3 linked regions of the Coturnix japonica genome follow. The protein of the gene in region 3 interacts with the protein of the main gene of each other region in a pairwise test. Links are inferred from orthologs where the notes say so. Each region holds a gene or a part of one and is shown on either strand. Other genes may lie near its edges. The genes, in order: PARD6B, AKAP7 and CEP76.

Region 1 (6,210 bases), on a different chromosome or scaffold from region 3:
ATGGTGGCTGCTCAAGAACAGAAAGGAGAACAACCGACTTTTTATGGCACGTGGCGACCTGCAATTCTTCAAAGAAGTCACAGAGAGCTTTAGAATGGCACATATGCATTAATACAGAGCTATGGTTAACATATGCAAGACAGAACTGCTCATATTCCTAGTTGTTCTGAACAGAAATGAAAAGCCACTTTGACCCAATGGATACAAAGAATAGCTGGTGATGTTCAGTACAAACCGTGCAGTAAAACTTTCACGAGATGCTCTTATATCAATTCTGCTTCTTTCTGGAGGAAGGAAATAAAAGGGAGCAACCAGCCGCCCCTCAAGAACATTCAGAAGATTTGCCTCTGCTTCTGAAAGATTCCAGCTTGTAGAAGAATTAGAAGGACAATAAGCTCCTCACTACAAAATACAGAGCAGCCAATTGGTGGCATTTTTGTCAATCCTGTCACTGATGGACAATGAACATCACTTCAAACTATTCCTTTACCTGGCTCAATTTTAAGAAGGCGAGGGCACACTGAATGAAACGCTGCCAGGAGTTCCAGTCTCAGTATCACATGGTGGGGTAGGTGTTACACACAGCAGGTGGGGAGGTGTAAATTACCAGGCCTCAGAGCAACCCTTACCTCACCACTGATTAAAACAGCTCTAGAGAATAGAGGCCTTAGAATTCTCACATACCAAGGCACGAAAATAAGGAGACAAGGACCCTATTGTTAGCACATTAACACCGCCCAGACTCAAACAGGCACAGCAGAACAGCCTACACACTATTAACACCTCATCTTCAAAGTTCTCAAATAATGGAATTCTCTGGGGGCACTCTAGAAATATTCCTATTTCAGTCACTTTAAGTCAGAAGAGATGACTCACACAAAGCAAACAACAGCCTGCAGGAGGAGCTTCCTCCACGTCAGAGGCAGCTGAAGTGTGATGTCAGTGATGGAACGTGACCGAGTTCCTGCTGAACCCTGCTGCAGCTATTTCAAGTATGAGCGCTATGGAAACTCTCCAAGCATTGTATCAATCTGCAGTTGTTTGGTTTTGAAAGACAACATAGTTTGAACGGTTAAGTAACACTGGAATTTAAAAGAACGCCACCAACAATCTTACTCTCAACTTGAAGCAAACATGGTGTGATTGCAGCAAGGATATGAACGGTCACATTTCCAAGCATGTGAAGTTAATTTTTCCCCCCACCATTTCCACAGACGTTATGCTCTAACAAAACTTGCCACATGCTCAGTACTACGAAGCTGATAAAGTAGAAAAGCTAAACTAATTCCCTGTCCATATTAATCTCATGTAATAATTGTCTATATTAATCTCATGCAATGTTTCCATTTGATATCAAACGTTGCACCACATTCCACTCTGCACTAACAAAAATTTGCAACTTTAATGAAGCACAGAAACGTAAAATCAGAAGAATCAGCTGGAAAAACACAGCACAAGCTATGGCAATGTACCAGGAATTCACCTGAGATACCCACGTGAGTAAGACTCGCTTATGAGAAGCATCTTTATGTCCTGTCTAATGCTGCATGCCGCTGCTACACTACCAGTCTTAAGCAATAATAACAGAACATAAGACAGATACATTTGCTGGAGCTTATCGGTATATTAGATTTCATTCCATACAAAACAAAGAATCGGAAAACACTATTCCCACTCACAATGGGCTTTGCAGGCATGGGTTTGTCAGTCGGTGCATGATTACTGAGTTGGACTACCTGAACACAGCGTTGGACACTGATGGCAAGCCTTCAAATCTTACAGCACTGCACAGGAATGCTCCCCTCCACCTCCCACACAGCTTTTCTTTCTTTTTTGGAGCTTCTTCACGGAAGGAAGATGACTCCTCTGATACATTAAATCTAGATACTTGAAAGTAATGTATTAGCAACAAGTAGTTCAGAGAACGCCTCGATACATTCTTCATAGTACACTAAGAGACAGCCCCAACTCATTAGACCTGCTCTGCAGAATGCCAAAGGAGGCACCACGCAGCTGATCCCTAGACATACTTGTAATCAGGCAATGCACACTACAGGGGAGGCTTGAGCTGTGGCAAGAAGTATTGCTTATAAACACGTTATTCTGATTGCTTTCAATCCTACAAGCACATAGATTAAAACAACAAACAACACGCTCCACTGACACAGTCACAGCTGTGCTTAACCAGCATTTGGGATCATGGCAGCCAAGTATTCCTTGGCATTGTGACTTCACCCATATCACAGTTAAGTTAAAAACGAGCAGTAATTATCATCCATGCTAGTCCCAAAAGCGCAGCACTGCTTTTCATGTACAAGCACTTGTCACACTAGTGTTTAAAAAACAGACAAGAAAAAGATCCCCAGCTCCCGGCTGCCTCTCCTACACTGCAAAGGGATGCTTGGATTGCAGGAAGGAGCAGAGTACGAACAGCAAACAGACCCGAGCGGCTTAGAAATAAAGAGGCACAAAAGGACTTTTTTTCTTTTAAACCAATGAAAGAAAACATCCCCACAGGGCCGTGTAGTTTGGTGTGATGATGGAAAGGATTTCACAACAACGCATTTCTTTAGCAGCTTCACACCAGTTAAGATTTCACATCTAACGCATATTAAGATTTACAGTTGTAAATGTAATTAACTGCAAAAGGACAAAGTACCAAAATATGATCACGGTAAGCCAAAAAAAACCCCAAGATCTGTTTCAGAACACTGAACATCTGCCAGCAAAACTACGGGAACCAGGAGAAAAAACCAACGGCAATGGATGCAGAAATGATGCAGAAATGCCAATAGACACATGGAGCCTGCGGAGATCTGACAGCAGGGCTGCTGGAGGAGCCACAGCGTGTACATACATACACATACATACACACATACACATACAGCCTCGTGAGAGCTCGGCCGGCACTAAGTTCTCATGCAGACTCTGCCCGCAGAGCAGCCCGGTGTGATGGGCAGCGATCACGGCCCGGCGTCCGTCACAACCCCCGACCCGACCCTGGAACGCCTTTAGCCTCGATCCCCCCCGAGCTCCCACCCCCGCCCCGCTCCGTCCCGCCGCTCGCTGCGCACACCGGGCCCGGTTCCTCCGTCCCGTCGCTCGCTCAGTCCCGCCGCGCGGTTCCCGCCCCAGGCCGCGCTGCCGCAGGTGAGTGACTCAGTGACTCAGTGAGTCCGTGATTCAGCCCCGACCCGCCGGGCTCCCCGCGGTTCCGGCCGGGCCGCCCGCTCCCCGCTCGCTTACCTTGCTCTTCACCTCCATGGTGCCGAGGCCCCGGCTGCCCGCAGGCCCGCGGTGAGGCCGACTCATTCCGCCGGCTGCTCGGCGTCTGCTCTTTTCTCTCGGCCCCGGGCGCCCACGGGTGGCAGAGCGGGACGCTCACGGCCCGGATCCCCCCGGATCCCCCCGCCCCTCACGCCTCCAGCCGCTCCTGGCACCGCGGCGCCGCCCTGACACAGCGGCACCGGGCGGGGCCGGCGGCTCCTGGCACCTGCCGCCCTCACACCGCGGGACGGGGCAGCGCCGCACCGCGCATGCGCACACGGGCGGGGCCGCGCACCTGCCGCTCGCGAGCATGCGCACTGAGCCGTGCGCGCTGAGCGCGGGACGGCGGCACCGAGCACCTGCCGGGTTGAGGCGGAGCTACAAGATGGAGGGGGAGGAACCGCACGGAGATGAGGAAGTACGGAGTGATTCTGTGTAGGGGCGGGGGTGGGACGAGCCGCGGGACCTTTGCTCGGCAGCGGGCGGGTCTGGTGTGCAAACATGGGGCTGTGCGAGGGAACGCGGCCCGGCAGCACGATGCGCTGATCTGTGAGGGAGGAGTGGGACAGCGCCGGGAAAGGGAAGGGAAGGAAAGGCCGCGAGTGTGCGGGGTGTGAGAGAAACATGACTGGATCCGAATGTGTGAGACTGTACGGAGCGGGATGTGTGTGAGACATTGAAACATGACTGACTGCATCCTGCTGGGTGTGACTGCCCCAGCCCAGGCCGTGCTCCCTCCCTGTCCCTCTCATGCTCTTTAGGCCTGTCCTGGCCGTGCAGTTGTTGGACTTTTCTGTTTTAAGCCCCGTCCGTAACCTGGTGACACGCCTGAAGGGTTTTCTGTGACGTCGTTTGTGTGTGTTACACTGCGATAGAACAACCATTATTGTGTAACCGTCCACATAGTGACCTTGGGGAGGTACCGGCAGACCTTAACATGGGGACCGTGTCATGCCTAAAATCTGAAGAAAAAGGATTTTTCATTTACAGAGTTTAGTATGTAGAGGGAGGAAGAAAGCGTGTGAGTCGGCTTATTGAAGTCAAGAGCCCCTTGCAAACCTCTGCCAGGTTTTTAAAGCAGTCAGTTGCCGTTTTCCTTGGAAGAACTTCCTGGAGCTGATCTGTGCCTGCAGCCGATTTTACTGTGGAACATTTCTGGAGTCTCACCTCAGATAAGGATTTTTTTCTATCTTGCATTCCTAGGATGGCTGGAGTTCCACACTGTGGGTGTGGTAACGTGCTTCAGGACTCAGGGCAAATTCATTTCAAGTCTCTGGAACTGACCTAATAAAGAGTATTAATCACTGGCATGCTCTCATCACTGGGAGCTGACGTATGAGGAAGGAATGCAATAAACAGCTTGATTTCAGATCAAGATACAGTGAGAGGCCGGGAGCAGCACAAGTTTGAAGAGCTATTTTAGTCACAGAGTCTACAAACCTGTGACTTGATCATGACTATTCATGGCACAACCAGTTTCAGCTTCTGTGAAGTTGAAAGACAGGTTGGGTTTTGTAATCCCTGGATCAGGGGGACATTCTGTTTCACTGCAGAGAAGTCCCTGGCTACTGCTGTCCCGGATGCTCTTTCAGGTCCATAGAACTGTGTTACCATCTGAGTTGCAGAGGACTCTTGAAGCCATCCAGTGCAACTCCCCTGCAGTGAGCAGGGACGCCTGCAGCTTGATCAGGTTGCTCAGAGCGTGGTCCAGCCTGGCCCTGAGTGGGACGGAGCACCCACCCAGCCCCTCTCTGGGCAGCCCATTTCAGTATCTCAGCATGGAGCTGTTCCCGAGCTCCCAACCATCCGGCTGCTTTCGGACCTGCTCAAAACGAGTCTGTGCCCTCAGTGTGGACCCAGGGCCCAGTCAAAGTGCTGTGGCAGGGATGGCTGAAGAACCGAAGGCAGGATCTGTGATTTTTCCATTGCGAGAACATTTATTAATTTACCAAATGATATCTGCAGCCAATCGCAAAAAGAATGACAGCGCCTCATAAAACAGTTCATTATAATTTATTACTATTGAATTATTAATTGCAGGCTGAGTGGCCCCGGGCTGTTCCGGCGGTGCCCAGCAGGGGGCGCTGTGCCGGGTTTAGTTTGTAATATTTTAGTATTTCATAGATTTATTGCTGAAATCATAAAACGAGGTTAGCAGTCGTTGTATTTAGACAGTTCAGTGTATTGTTGGCTTGTTCTTCTGAGTTTATTTTTTGCACGCATTCATGGACAAGTCAAACCCACTGTGAACTTACAGAGCCTACCCAGACAGACGTTTATACAATAATATAATAGAGCCGTCACTGTTCATTAACCAAACAGCACCGATGCAGCGGTAATAAGTGAAAACAGAGAAGAGCAAGCCGAGGGGAGGAGTTCAGCTCTTCCATGTATGTCACATCTGGAAATACTGAAGCTGTGTGAGTTCAGCCTCTGCCCCTGTTCCTTCAGAGCTCTGGCAGCTACTTGGTCATTCCCTCCTGATCTGTAACTCCATGAACTAAAATATTCCAGTGTGGGCAGAGATGCAGAAAGAAGCAGAAATCCTGCGCTCAGAGCTCTGAGGACACGTAACTACAGATCAGTTTCACTATAACACACCCAGAGGAGCTCTCAGTAAATATTCTTCATATCGGGATGATGTCTAAAGTTGGTTGTGTTGTAGTAGCGAAAGTGCATAGTCAGTATATTGATAGATGATCTACTTCTGTGCAAATTCCTTCATGTTCATAAGCATCTGGGTAGCGTTTTAAAATCAAAAGAATGTAAAATGAGAAGAGGGTGGAGAGACAAGTAATTGTTAGCATACATGTTACTTGCACTGAGCAGTAAGAAGTGCATTGCTTTCTCCAGGTCAGCATAACAACTCTATTAAGAGGAATAACTGCAGAGTTATTAGCTATTGCTGGCACAAACAGAGCTCTGGCCAACAGATGCCTTTGT
Region 2 (5,672 bases), on a different chromosome or scaffold from region 3:
CTAAATGAATTCCAACATGTGTTTTCTACTTTGATAACAACTCTACATCTGAGGCAAGTGTTAACAAAACTTTCTAGCAGAATCTTGGAATTCCTAAATGTTCTGAGATTTAATACATTTGTCGCATTACCTCCATAAATGAAAGATCAAATACACAGAAAAAAAGCACATTTAGTTAAGATTTTTCCACTCCATCAGTAATTCAGTGTAACAACTGCGAGCAGTAATTCTCAATTATCAGATTATATAACTCCTACATTAATTGTTGCTGTTAAATCGTGGAAGAGACAGGACAAAAAGATATTTCAGAGCAGGATGGCATAAAAGATCACCAGCAGTTGTGTCGGGCTATCCTAAAACTATCCTGAGAAGGGAGAGTTCTGCCATCTCTCCTTCACACAGCATTTTCTGAAGAATCAAAGACTGCACTGTCATTTCCAAAACTAGCTTACATTATTTGCATTGCAGGTTCTCTGCATTTTTGACTTTCACTGAACACACATATTACGGATGCAGAATGAGTTAAAATTCACCTGGGAGCTAGGTTACTGTTAGGTTAAACACGTGCTAATTGCAGGAGAATAAGTTTTGAAGACTTTGCTGCATTTCCACTTCAATTGCATCTCACTTAAACAGTAGCTTATTGGAATTTAAACAAGGTGATCAATTTTATGGGAAACTTATAAAACTTCAAAACATAAAGTTAAAACAGCGACGGATCCACATTTAAAATCTTGTGCATAGGGAGAGCTAGAAATCCTGCAGTGGTTTTCCTATTAACAGGAACGTCTCTCTTCCTTATTCCATTTGAATGGTAGGAATGCCGTGTTGCAACACCGGAGGCCCGGGTTCGAATCCCCCCTGTGGCGCAAGTGGTAGAAGTGCCGCTCTGCTACACAGGAGGCTCGAATCCTGGGGATTGGACTCAATGATCTCTAAGGTCCCTTCCAACCCGCACGAGACTGTGAGACAAAATAAGCAACACTGAAACAGTGCAGAGGGAGAAATTAAGTTTCAATCAAAATAATTTGAATTCCATAAGAGAGAATAAAAAGATAACCTTTCTCCAGTCTTTCCCAGGTGAGTAATTTTATTCACAAAGATGTTAGTTTAAAAAGTTAAGTGACAGAATAGGCTGCTAATGTTCTTCTAAAAATACCTGGAAAAATGAGCTTGCTCAAGCTCAAACACTGCCCTCCTTATAAACACAAGCAGCTGCTGAAGTAACTCTAGTTATACCAAAGTACTGTAATAAAGAATCTCACCTCTGGATTAGTAATTGGAAGAGAAATGAAATAATTTGGCTGATATTGCTTTTTCTTTTTCTTCTTTCTCTCACTGCCTTCTGGAATTTCCTTTCCGGTAGCCCTCTTCCTTTTCTTTTCCATGTTTATTTCAGAGGCTGTATGCACTGTAAAAAAAAAAAGAAAAAGAAAATACTTCCAGCACATAGACAAATCAGAATAAAGATACACTTAATATCATACCCAATAATCCTTAATATCACTTCAGTCAGATGACTGGATAGCATTTTCCCAGGCATGTGATCTGCCCACGCACTGAACTGTCTGACTGGGATCCTATGCCAGCTTCCATTAACATAGCCACGCAAGTGGAGTACCATACTTGAACTAATAGTCTATTCATCCAGGCAGGGTTTATAAGCTGTTAACACACATGCATGGCTTCCAAACTACAGCTGTGTTTCATTGAGCCAAGTTGCTACAGTGGACTAGGCCAGCAAGTGTTCATACCTGACATGTCCATGGGCATGACTTCAGAGCAATTTCCCACATACTGCATTTTACAGTATAAAACAAGATGATAAGCAGGATTATTAAAGGAGAAGGTTGTGGTAGACTAGGAATGGCCAACCTACAGTTCATGGACCAAACCCAGAGAGTTCTTCTGTGTACCACAGATTACTCTTCTCCCAGCTTATTTTGTTTGCAGCCTCTCTCCACTGCCTAATAACAAGTGCATTTCTAGCCACATGCTGGGAATACACATCTGGAAGACAGCTCATAAAAGCCATCGCTTCAGCAGCTCATATATAGTAATGTGAATAGACGTATATGAGACATCTTTATGCTGTAGCTCATTGCTTCAATGAATCACAAAACAAATGTTTAACATGCTCAAGTGTCTGCAAGACTGAGGACTAATCACAGAATCACAGAACTGTAGGGATTGGAAGGGACCTCTAGAGATCATCAAGTCCAACCCCCTGCCAAAGCAGGTTCCCTACACCACGTCACACAGGTAGGCGTCCAGGCGGGTCTTGAATATCTCCAGAGAAGGAGACCCCACCACCCTCTGCAATAAACCTAATAAACCTCTGGACTTGGTTCTGTTTGCAGGGAGACTGTACTCAACAGGCCCAGCCTACCTGTGCATTCCAACAGACAGGATCAGGAACTGTGTGCACAGTATGTTTATGTTGTGACACTATGTCCATTTAAATACACTTACTAGCAAATTCATCTTCAGTATCTATGCCGGCAAATGGCATTTCTGCCATCAGAGAATCTTCTGAATCAGCATGAGGACATGGCTTTTCTTCCTCTCGTGTCCTTTTTTTATTTCCTTCAACAATTTCCTTCTTTTGCTGCATATTTTCCAGCCCATCTGTAATATATTTAAATAACACACTGGGTGTGAGTTTTCAGCATAAACACCTACATGACATTATACATAACCAATGTGCAAAACATAAATCTATCTAGTTCTCAGCAAATAAATAGTGACATAAATCCCTATTAAGAACGCTACTCTTCTTCCTTGACAACATATCAACAAAAACACTTCAACACTTTATGTGAAATAGCATAAAAAGAGAGTCCAGCCTTCTACATTTAATAACTTGTGGTTTGGATCCATTCTAAGCAAATGCAGTTAGAAGCAAAAAGGACAGTTATACTGACTACAAAACAATACAAATCTTCATATATCATGTAAGGCTCACTCTGGATAACAGTAACGGCATGTGAAATTTGGTGCAGATAAACACAAGGAGATTATTTCCAATGTAAACACACTGAAAACGAGGCATGAAGGAGCAGAAAGGGAATCCTACAAATTCACATAAAGCAAAGAGTTCTCAGCTGACTATATCATGCAGGAATGAGATGATTATTCTAGTCCTGCATCTCCCACACAGTGCAATATGTGTATTAAACTACAGCTTAAGAAATGCAAAATCAGTATCTCCTCTAGCAACATGTACACATAGCGAGACATCCAGTAATATCCTCCTGGGACAGCTCCACAATGGGATTACTGTAGTGCAAGAAGCCTTGTGTTAGAATTGCAGTTTATCCCAGGACAGCTCATTATGACAGACAACACACTTTGAAAGCTTCTCTTGTGACCACTGCAGATAGTCCAAATCTGGCCCAAGGGGAAAAACTGGCCTCAAAAGTGCATATGATGTTACTGTGGCATGCAAAGCTCTGCTACATGTGTAAAATCAACAGTATAGAGTCTGGGCTATTGGGATGATAAGCGAAAGAAGAATCTGGTTACATGCTAACTCCAGCCTAAAGTAGGAAGACATAAATCACTATGTTGCCGTGGTCTGACACCTACATTTATGCCAAAGGCTAATATGAATAAACAAACTGGAGTGGCTGCTTGTTCCCTCTGCAGACAATAAAGAACTATATATGACAAAGAGATGTTAAAAGCAACAATAAATTTATTACCTAACACTTAGAGTTAAGCTTACATGCTGGTGATCCACCAGCATACAGAACATAACGTTTTCTCCTTTTAAACAGGTCACAAACTGAAGGACAAGACAAAAACCCATGAGACTGACAAACAAGGCAGAAAAGTTGCCAACAAGATGCAGAAATGCAGAATTAAAAGCAAATGGAGTTTAGTATGGAAGCATCAGCTGCGGAACAAGGATTCACCTAAATCTGAGGGGTGTGTATTGCAGATTACGCCCTCCTTCTGCCCCATAGACACAAAGCACAGTATGTGATGAACAGCAGCAGGTGGGCAGAGCAGGAGCACAGACATTACATCCCTTCCCAAACAACACATGCACTGCTTCTCAGCCCTACATATCAAGATCCCAATCAAAAACTCTATCCCACTTTTTCCTGAATTAAACATTAAGGAAATCACCAACAAAATCCAAGACTTGTATCCTAGTCACTAAAGCAACCTTTCCAAATACCTGGCAAAATGTTAATAATCTGAGACCTATGTAACTAGAAGAGCTTCCACAGCAACTCTTACACCACCAAACTACTGAAGGATAAATTTTATTCTTAACTGCATGAATTTCATATATGAAAAGGGATCTATGCCTTCCCTGTATTTGTCTTAGAGCAGTTACTGATCTATCTGTCATAAAGCAGTTACTGATGCTCATGAACATGAGCCACCTGTTCCTGTGGGAAAAAAAAAAGAAGAAAACAAAACAAGCTACATATGTCTCATAGAGAACACAAAAGCAGGGAAAAACACTCTCATTGTACTCCCTTTTCAGGCCTCCTCTCTCCACACTTAGTTGCAGGAGCAACAGTTTTCCACTCAAGACCCGGACTGTAGGCACTGTTTGCCGTGTATAGTAACAAATAATGATTGGGGTTGAAACTGGATGGGCTTTAAAACCCCATCCAACCCAGTCTGTTCTGTTATTCCACAACTGAATATAACACTGCTGTGGAAATGGATGGCCTTTCTCTCTAGGCTTTGTGAGCCCCTACTACTAGCACAAGCTTCACACGCCCAGAGAATTGTAGAATCATAAAGGTTGGAAACACAAAGATCATCTAGTCTAACCATTGACCCATAACCACCACACCCACTAACCAGGTCTGAAAGTACTCTACATATTTCCTGAACACCTCCAGGAACAGTGACTGCACCACCTCACTGAGCAGCCTGTTCCAGCACCTGACCACTCTTTCAGATAAGAAACATTTCCTAATATCCATCCTGAACCTCCCATGGTGCAACTTGAGGCCATTCTCTCTATTTCTTTTGGTAGTTACATAGGAGAAGAGGCCGACCCTCACCTCACTACAACTTCCCTTCAGATAGTTGTAGAGAGTAATAAGGTCTATACAAGATGATCCAAGGGCTGGAGCACCTCTTCAGTGAAGATAAGCTGAAGGAACTGAGTTTGTTCAGCCTAGAAAAGAGAAGGCTGTGGGGAGACCTCATTGTGGCCCTCCAATATTTTAAGGGAGTTTATAAACATGAGATAAATAAGATTTTTACAAGAGTAGATAGTGATAGGACAATGGGGAATGGTCTTAAACCAAAGGAGGGGAGATTTAGATTAGACATCGGGGGAAGTTTTTCCTGCAGACAGTGGTGAGGTGCTGGAACACGTTGCCTAAAGAGGGTCTGGATGCCTCATCGCTGGAGGTGTTTAAGGACAGACTGGATAGGGCCCTGGACAACTTGATCTAGTACTTCATTGAGAGCTTGGTGGCTCTGCCTATAGCAGGAGTGTTGGAAATTGATCCTTGAGGTCCCTTCCAATCCGTTCTAATACAATTCTATGATTCTAAGGTCTCCCCTGAGACTCCTCCAGACTAAACAATTCCAGTTCCCTCAGCCACTCCCCATAAGACTTGTGCTCCAGACCCCTCACCAGCTTTATTGACTCTCTCTGGACACACTCCAGGACCTTGATGATTTTCTTGCTG
Region 3 (5,672 bases):
AGTCCAACCCCTGGGATTCGAGCCTCCTGTGTAGCAGAGCGGCACTTCTACCACTTGTGCCACAGGGGGGATTCGAACCCAGGCCTACCGGTGTTGCAAAGCAGTGTTCCACACAACCATCAGTTGCCCCAAGAGGCAAAAAAGTTACTATCCTGCTTAAAACCACTGAAAAGCACATTATGAAATACTTCACCTCACGCTCAAGCAGTTATCCTAAAAACAAAAGTATACAGAGCAAAGATGCACAGACAAAAGTCTCCTGGATATTTGATTAAATGACAAGACAGGGAAATGAATATGACAAAGAAACAAGACAAAACCAACAAGCACACACACACAAACACACACACACACACACACACACACACACACACAAACCCACCAGAAGAACTACACAAATCTCAATAGGTACTGCTTAGTTTTCTTATTTGCTTTTTACTCACCTATGTCCCGTTAAGCTCTCCCAAAAAGTAATTGTTCCATCGGTTCCACAGGTCATTACCCAAGCGTGAGGGATTCCTTTTGCTTTTGTTCCTACACACACAAAGGCTTCCAATCCATAGCCAAGAAGAAGACTGCACAGAAGGTTGGCATGATCTTCACAGTCACCCTAGACAGTAAATGTTTGTATGTTGGTTTGACTATCAGGCATAGCTAAAAACATTAGAAAAAGAAAGCAGTATTTCTCCAGTTGTTATCTAACAAGTCGCGTTTCCCTCCTATTTACCTAAAACATGCACCAGAAGTCAGGACTTCAAGGTTACAAACTTAAGAATCTTGAATTCCTCTTTTTAATATGCACCATATCAAAGTATATCAGGCTTTTACAACTTCCAATGGAGTTATTGTTCTTCACAGAGGCTCATATGGTGCTGCATTTTGGATTTTTTATGAGAACAGTGCTGACAGCACACCATTGCAGGTGCTGCAGAGCAGCGTTTACACAGACACAAGGATATTTCAGTTCTTCATGCTGCCTTGCCCATAAAGGGCTGTGGTACACAAGGAACTGAGAGGACAGAAACAGGATAACAGCTGATCCAGACCACCCAAAGGATGTCCCATGTCACATGTCATAGCGCTCAGCAACATAAGCTGGGTTGAAGGAGGAAAAGGGGATGTTTGTGATGATGGCTTTTATTTTTCCCCCCTTAAGGAACCATTACACATGATGTCCAATGGATTCATTGAAAAAAGGATTCAAGCAACAGCACTGAATAAAGTAAGTCAGCTCCAAAGCCCTCTTGTCTAATACTTAACATCTGCCACTATTTGATCTTATAAAAGCTATTTGCATTTATGAGTTCTCTGAAATGGATTCAGTCCACCTTTTGCAACCTGTTTTAAATGACTAACTTCATTCCAACTATAAAAGTTGTCATGCAAAGACTGTTTTTACATACCTTGTTTCTACATACGAATGCAAGAAGTGTGCACCACTGCTCTTGTTTGCCACCACCTCCTCCGATGACAGGAGCTCTTTCATAACCCAGGACACTGACAAATCGTGCTGCTTGTCTAGGTGTGTCTAGCAACCGGCCCGCTCGAAGTGGTCTGATATATGAACATACCGGACGGTTTACTCCATTTTCATCCTGAACGTGGTAAAGAAATAATAGTACTATTAAAACTTCCTAAAGCAATCCATTATCTACTGTTAGTTTCCAGTGAAGCTTCCATTCCGGCTGCACCAGGTGTGTTCAGCAGTGAGATGAATGCACCACACCCTTACGTGGAAGCTGACACTACTCCCGTACACAGCTGGTGAAGCCAGAAGAGAAGACCTCACTTCCCTGAAGACAAACAGCAGGTGTGGATTGCTTCCGGAAGTTATTTCATCATCTGTGCCAGGAAAATTGCTGCTCTACAAGTTAAATTCATATATTAGCATGATAAACACAAAGCATCACAGAATGGCCCAGGTTGGAAGGGACCTCAAGGATCAAGAATCTCCAAATCTCCTGCCACAGGCAGGGCCACCAACCTTGCCATTTAATAGTAGACCAGGTTGCCCAGGGCCCCATCCAACCTGGCCTTGGACACCTCCAGGGATGGGGCATCAGCAGCCTCTCTGGGCAGCCTGTTCCAGCACCTCACAACTCTCAAAGAACTTCCCCCTGACATCCAGCCTAAATCTTCCCTCCCTCAACTTGAAACCATTTCCCCTTGGCTGTCTGTTATCTACCCTTTCAAAGGCTTGACTCTCCTCCTGTTTGTAGGCTCCCTTTAAGTACTGAAAGGCTGCAATGAGGTCACCCTGCAGCCTTCTTTTCTCCAGGCTGAACAAGCCCAGCTCCCTCAGCCTGTCCTTATAGTCCCATACCATTCCTACTACTGAGGGGCAGTCACCAAGGAACAACTGATGTGATTGTGACGTAAGTTACAACACAGTAACTTACTAGCCAATGATTTGTTCACATCTGTAACTACCATGCAACATTCACCAGCCAGATTACTTTATTAACCACAGAGTGCTCAAATATTATATGGATCTGCTCCAGTATATCCAGTAACTCCACTACTTATTACTGTATAAAACCTGTCTGCAATAGTTTGTATAGATCACTTAAGCATTTGCCATTTGTACTTATTCAAGGAAAAGACTAAAATGGCTTTTCTACCTCCTACACCAGGGGTGCTTGGAGCAGCCTTTCTCTATGAAACATACTCTTCAGCTTCAGTATACATAGTTCAAGTCTTGAAAACTTCATTGTCAGCATACTGTATCACATGTAGCCCTGAATGGAATCTAACCACATCATAAATCTATACAAATTCTACATACACAAACTTCAAACATGCAGCTAAGACTAAAAAAAACACCTTGAAGAACAGATTGGTGTATTTGTAAAATATACAAACCTGTGCAAAAATCTTTACCAGCCTTGAGTTGTGTGTAGGCCTGATCTGCAGGTATTCTCTCCACCACTGTTTAGCATACACAAGAAATAAACGTTCTTTTTCTGCTGTCTTCTGACGTTCCAAAGTAAACTACAGGTAGGAAAATACACACAACCATTCACACATATAATAATTCCAAACAAGAACAAAAAGTAATCAATATACATACTAGCACATGATCCTTGCATATGAAAAATGAAGTTTAATATGACAGCATGCAACCAATGCTAAAGAATAGTATTTTAAAGTGAAAATCCAATGAATGTAAAACTCAATTTACATTTCTTGTTTGTAGGCTGATATATCAAGCTTGACTGAAGTAGTGTTCATCTTCAGTGACGCATATCTGTATAGAAGGACTACTCACCTTGCTAAGTGTGGAATAATATCTGTAACACCTTTGGGCCACCATTTACTGGCTTTTCAAGTAGAGTAACCGACCCTTTATCTACATAAATAACTGTACAGTGTGCATCCCCCCTGCTGATAAAAGAACAGGCCATCCCTCACCCCCTACATATTACTTACCTGAGTGCTTGTTATTTCTGGAGACAGAGTCTTAGTAAGTGGTGGATACATTTCAAGTCTGATGTTCAAAACACCGACAGAAACCTTTGATTCTGTACCTTTGAACCAAAATACATTCCTATCAGTCCTTTCAAATTCATTTGACACAGAACAAATAATAGTTTTAATCATACCATCATAAAAATAAAACCCCATAAACTTCTCTAAGTACATACAACACAAAGATCTTCACTGAAATATTCTACTCAAGAATGAAAGGAATGATAACCTGGCTAAAGAAGCTGGTAACTGGATCTGAGCCCTAAGGGCCTCTTTCCAGGTGATACCAGAACATACAAGATGAATGCTGTTCTGTAAGGGCTAGAATAGGCACCTACAAATAGACTGGAAGAGCCACAGTGTACAAGTGCCCATTGTTACTGAATGTACAACTCACTGCTCAGATCACTGTGGTTAGAGCAGGATCATAACTGCTACACAGGACAAGCTAGATTTTACACTTGAGAACACTGACACGGTATTTTTCCTGGAGACGCATTTGTTGATTTATGTTTGTTTTGATAGTTTACCCACATCCTGGAGATAACAGAGGCTCCCAGGTACAGGGACCACTATTGCACAGGATCTGGAACACACATTCTTAACACTTTGATAAGACAAAAATCTGACCATTAGTCCTTTATATAAACTCTTCTTAAGGATACCTTAAAGTAATTCATGAGTTGATACCTTAAAGTAATTCATGAGTTGATTAGCTGAACTGAAATCAAACCAAACCATAAATACTACTTTAAGCTTCTAATCAAACTTAGTACGCAATACTTTAACTCATCGTTAAATGCTCATTAGTTATTCTTACCTACACCCAGGAGTTCAACAGCAACATTTGTGATGCCATTCTCTGCAGCCAGGACAGATCGCCACTCCAAGAAATAGGACGCTACCAGCGTTGTCTCACCAAACGTGTCTGTTTTGATCAGAACCATATGCACTGGATCACATACAGATAACATAGTTGTTGCATCCACCATTTTACTTCCATCACCTGCCAGAAATAAAGCAACATTAAATAGCCAGAATATCACCCCAAGTCCTCCTTAAAATAATACTACTTTTTAGGTAAATAACTGCACTCTTGAAAACATGGAATGCTTCAGGTCTATTTATTATACACCACTATTGATTCCAGAATTCTTCTCATAACATTCATCTGCCACCACATTTCCTGGCTACCAACGGCAGAAAGGCAATAGAGGCGACAGATAACCGTGGAAGTCAGTCATCGAACAACTCATAGCAAACTGAGCTCAAAGTAAAGTTTTTCCTTCTGCATGGTGACAAATTGCTATCCACCTTCACGAGAATGCTCAAGGTTGGAAGGGACCTATGGAGGTCAGCTGGCCTAACCCCTGCTCAAGAAGGAACACCCAAAGCCCAGGACCATGGCAGTAACTTCAGAGTAGAAAAGACAAGGTAAGAATAGAGAAGGATCTAGAAGTGAAATCTAATAGTCATCAATTTCCCTACAAAAAATTTTAGTAATAAATAGGAAAGAAACACACTACATAATTTCAGACCTGTTTTGGAATAACTATAAAGTCAAAAAGAAATCCAGTGAAACAAAGCAAAATGATTTAGTGTAGGGTTTTTAGAGTTAGGGTTCTGGTTAGGCTGTGGTTGGACTTGATGATCTTCAAGGTCTTTTCCAACCTGGGTAATTCTATGAAAAGAAACAACATAGCATCAGCTTTAAAGTCATGATGTTCCTTACCTAGGCTTTCCTTGTGAACTTCAAGTAAAAAACCATCATGGAAATCTGGCTCACAAGCACAGGGAACGGGTTTAGAACGGAAACGCTGATTTCGGAAATGAAGACATAGTGTAAAAGTAGAACAGATTTGGCCAGGCAGAGGATCCGGTTCCTGAAGATGTTCCAGAAAAGCTTTTCCACCCAGAACCTGAAGGTAAAGATACCTTCGTGTTGGGTCAATGTTAGCTGTAAAGCGTAGCAACAAAAATGAAGAGACTACAAACAGATCTCAGGAAGCATGTTAAACATCAGCTAACCAACAGGAGAAGAGAAATAAAAAGAAATAATAAAGTTTTTGTATATAAGTCCCTAGGAGAAAGTGATTCTAAAATACATGGATGCTATTTTAACGTAAAATAAATGAAACATGAACGTCACATAAAACTTGAATCTGTATCAGTCAAACTTACATCCTTTAGATAAGCAAGACATA

Evidence for each region.
Region 1: the proteins of CEP76 (region 3) and PARD6B interact in binary tests that used the Homo sapiens proteins (3 or more experiments, as listed by UniProt). The two-hybrid records come from large-scale screens. The link is inferred for Coturnix japonica from reciprocal best matches to the Homo sapiens genes CEP76 and PARD6B.
Region 2: the proteins of CEP76 (region 3) and AKAP7 interact in a two-hybrid assay, tested with the Homo sapiens proteins (3 studies listed by BioGRID). The two-hybrid records come from large-scale screens. The link is inferred for Coturnix japonica from reciprocal best matches to the Homo sapiens genes CEP76 and AKAP7.

The regions. Positions count from the first base shown.
Region 1 is NC_029535.1:12,091,596-12,097,805, forward strand, and holds the start of PARD6B (partitioning defective 6 homolog beta), read right to left. Parts: upstream 3,467-6,210; 5' UTR 3,313-3,466; coding exon 3,247-3,312; intron 3,151-3,246; exon of another isoform or gene 3,090-3,150; intron 1-3,089. UniProt on the Homo sapiens protein: Adapter protein involved in asymmetrical cell division and cell polarization processes. Probably involved in formation of epithelial tight junctions.
Region 2 is NC_029518.1:52,090,786-52,096,457, forward strand, and holds part of AKAP7 (A-kinase anchoring protein 7), read right to left. Parts: intron 2,629-5,672; coding exon 2,473-2,628; intron 1,412-2,472; coding exon 1,266-1,411; intron 1-1,265. UniProt on the Homo sapiens protein: Probably targets cAMP-dependent protein kinase (PKA) to the cellular membrane or cytoskeletal structures.
Region 3 is NC_029517.1:87,452,878-87,458,549, reverse strand, and holds part of CEP76 (centrosomal protein of 76 kDa), read right to left. Parts: intron 5,426-5,672; coding exon 5,201-5,425; intron 4,475-5,200; coding exon 4,289-4,474; intron 3,528-4,288; coding exon 3,430-3,527; intron 2,992-3,429; coding exon 2,863-2,991; intron 1,596-2,862; coding exon 1,404-1,595; intron 611-1,403; coding exon 444-610; intron 1-443. UniProt on the Homo sapiens protein: Centrosomal protein involved in regulation of centriole duplication. Required to limit centriole duplication to once per cell cycle by preventing centriole reduplication.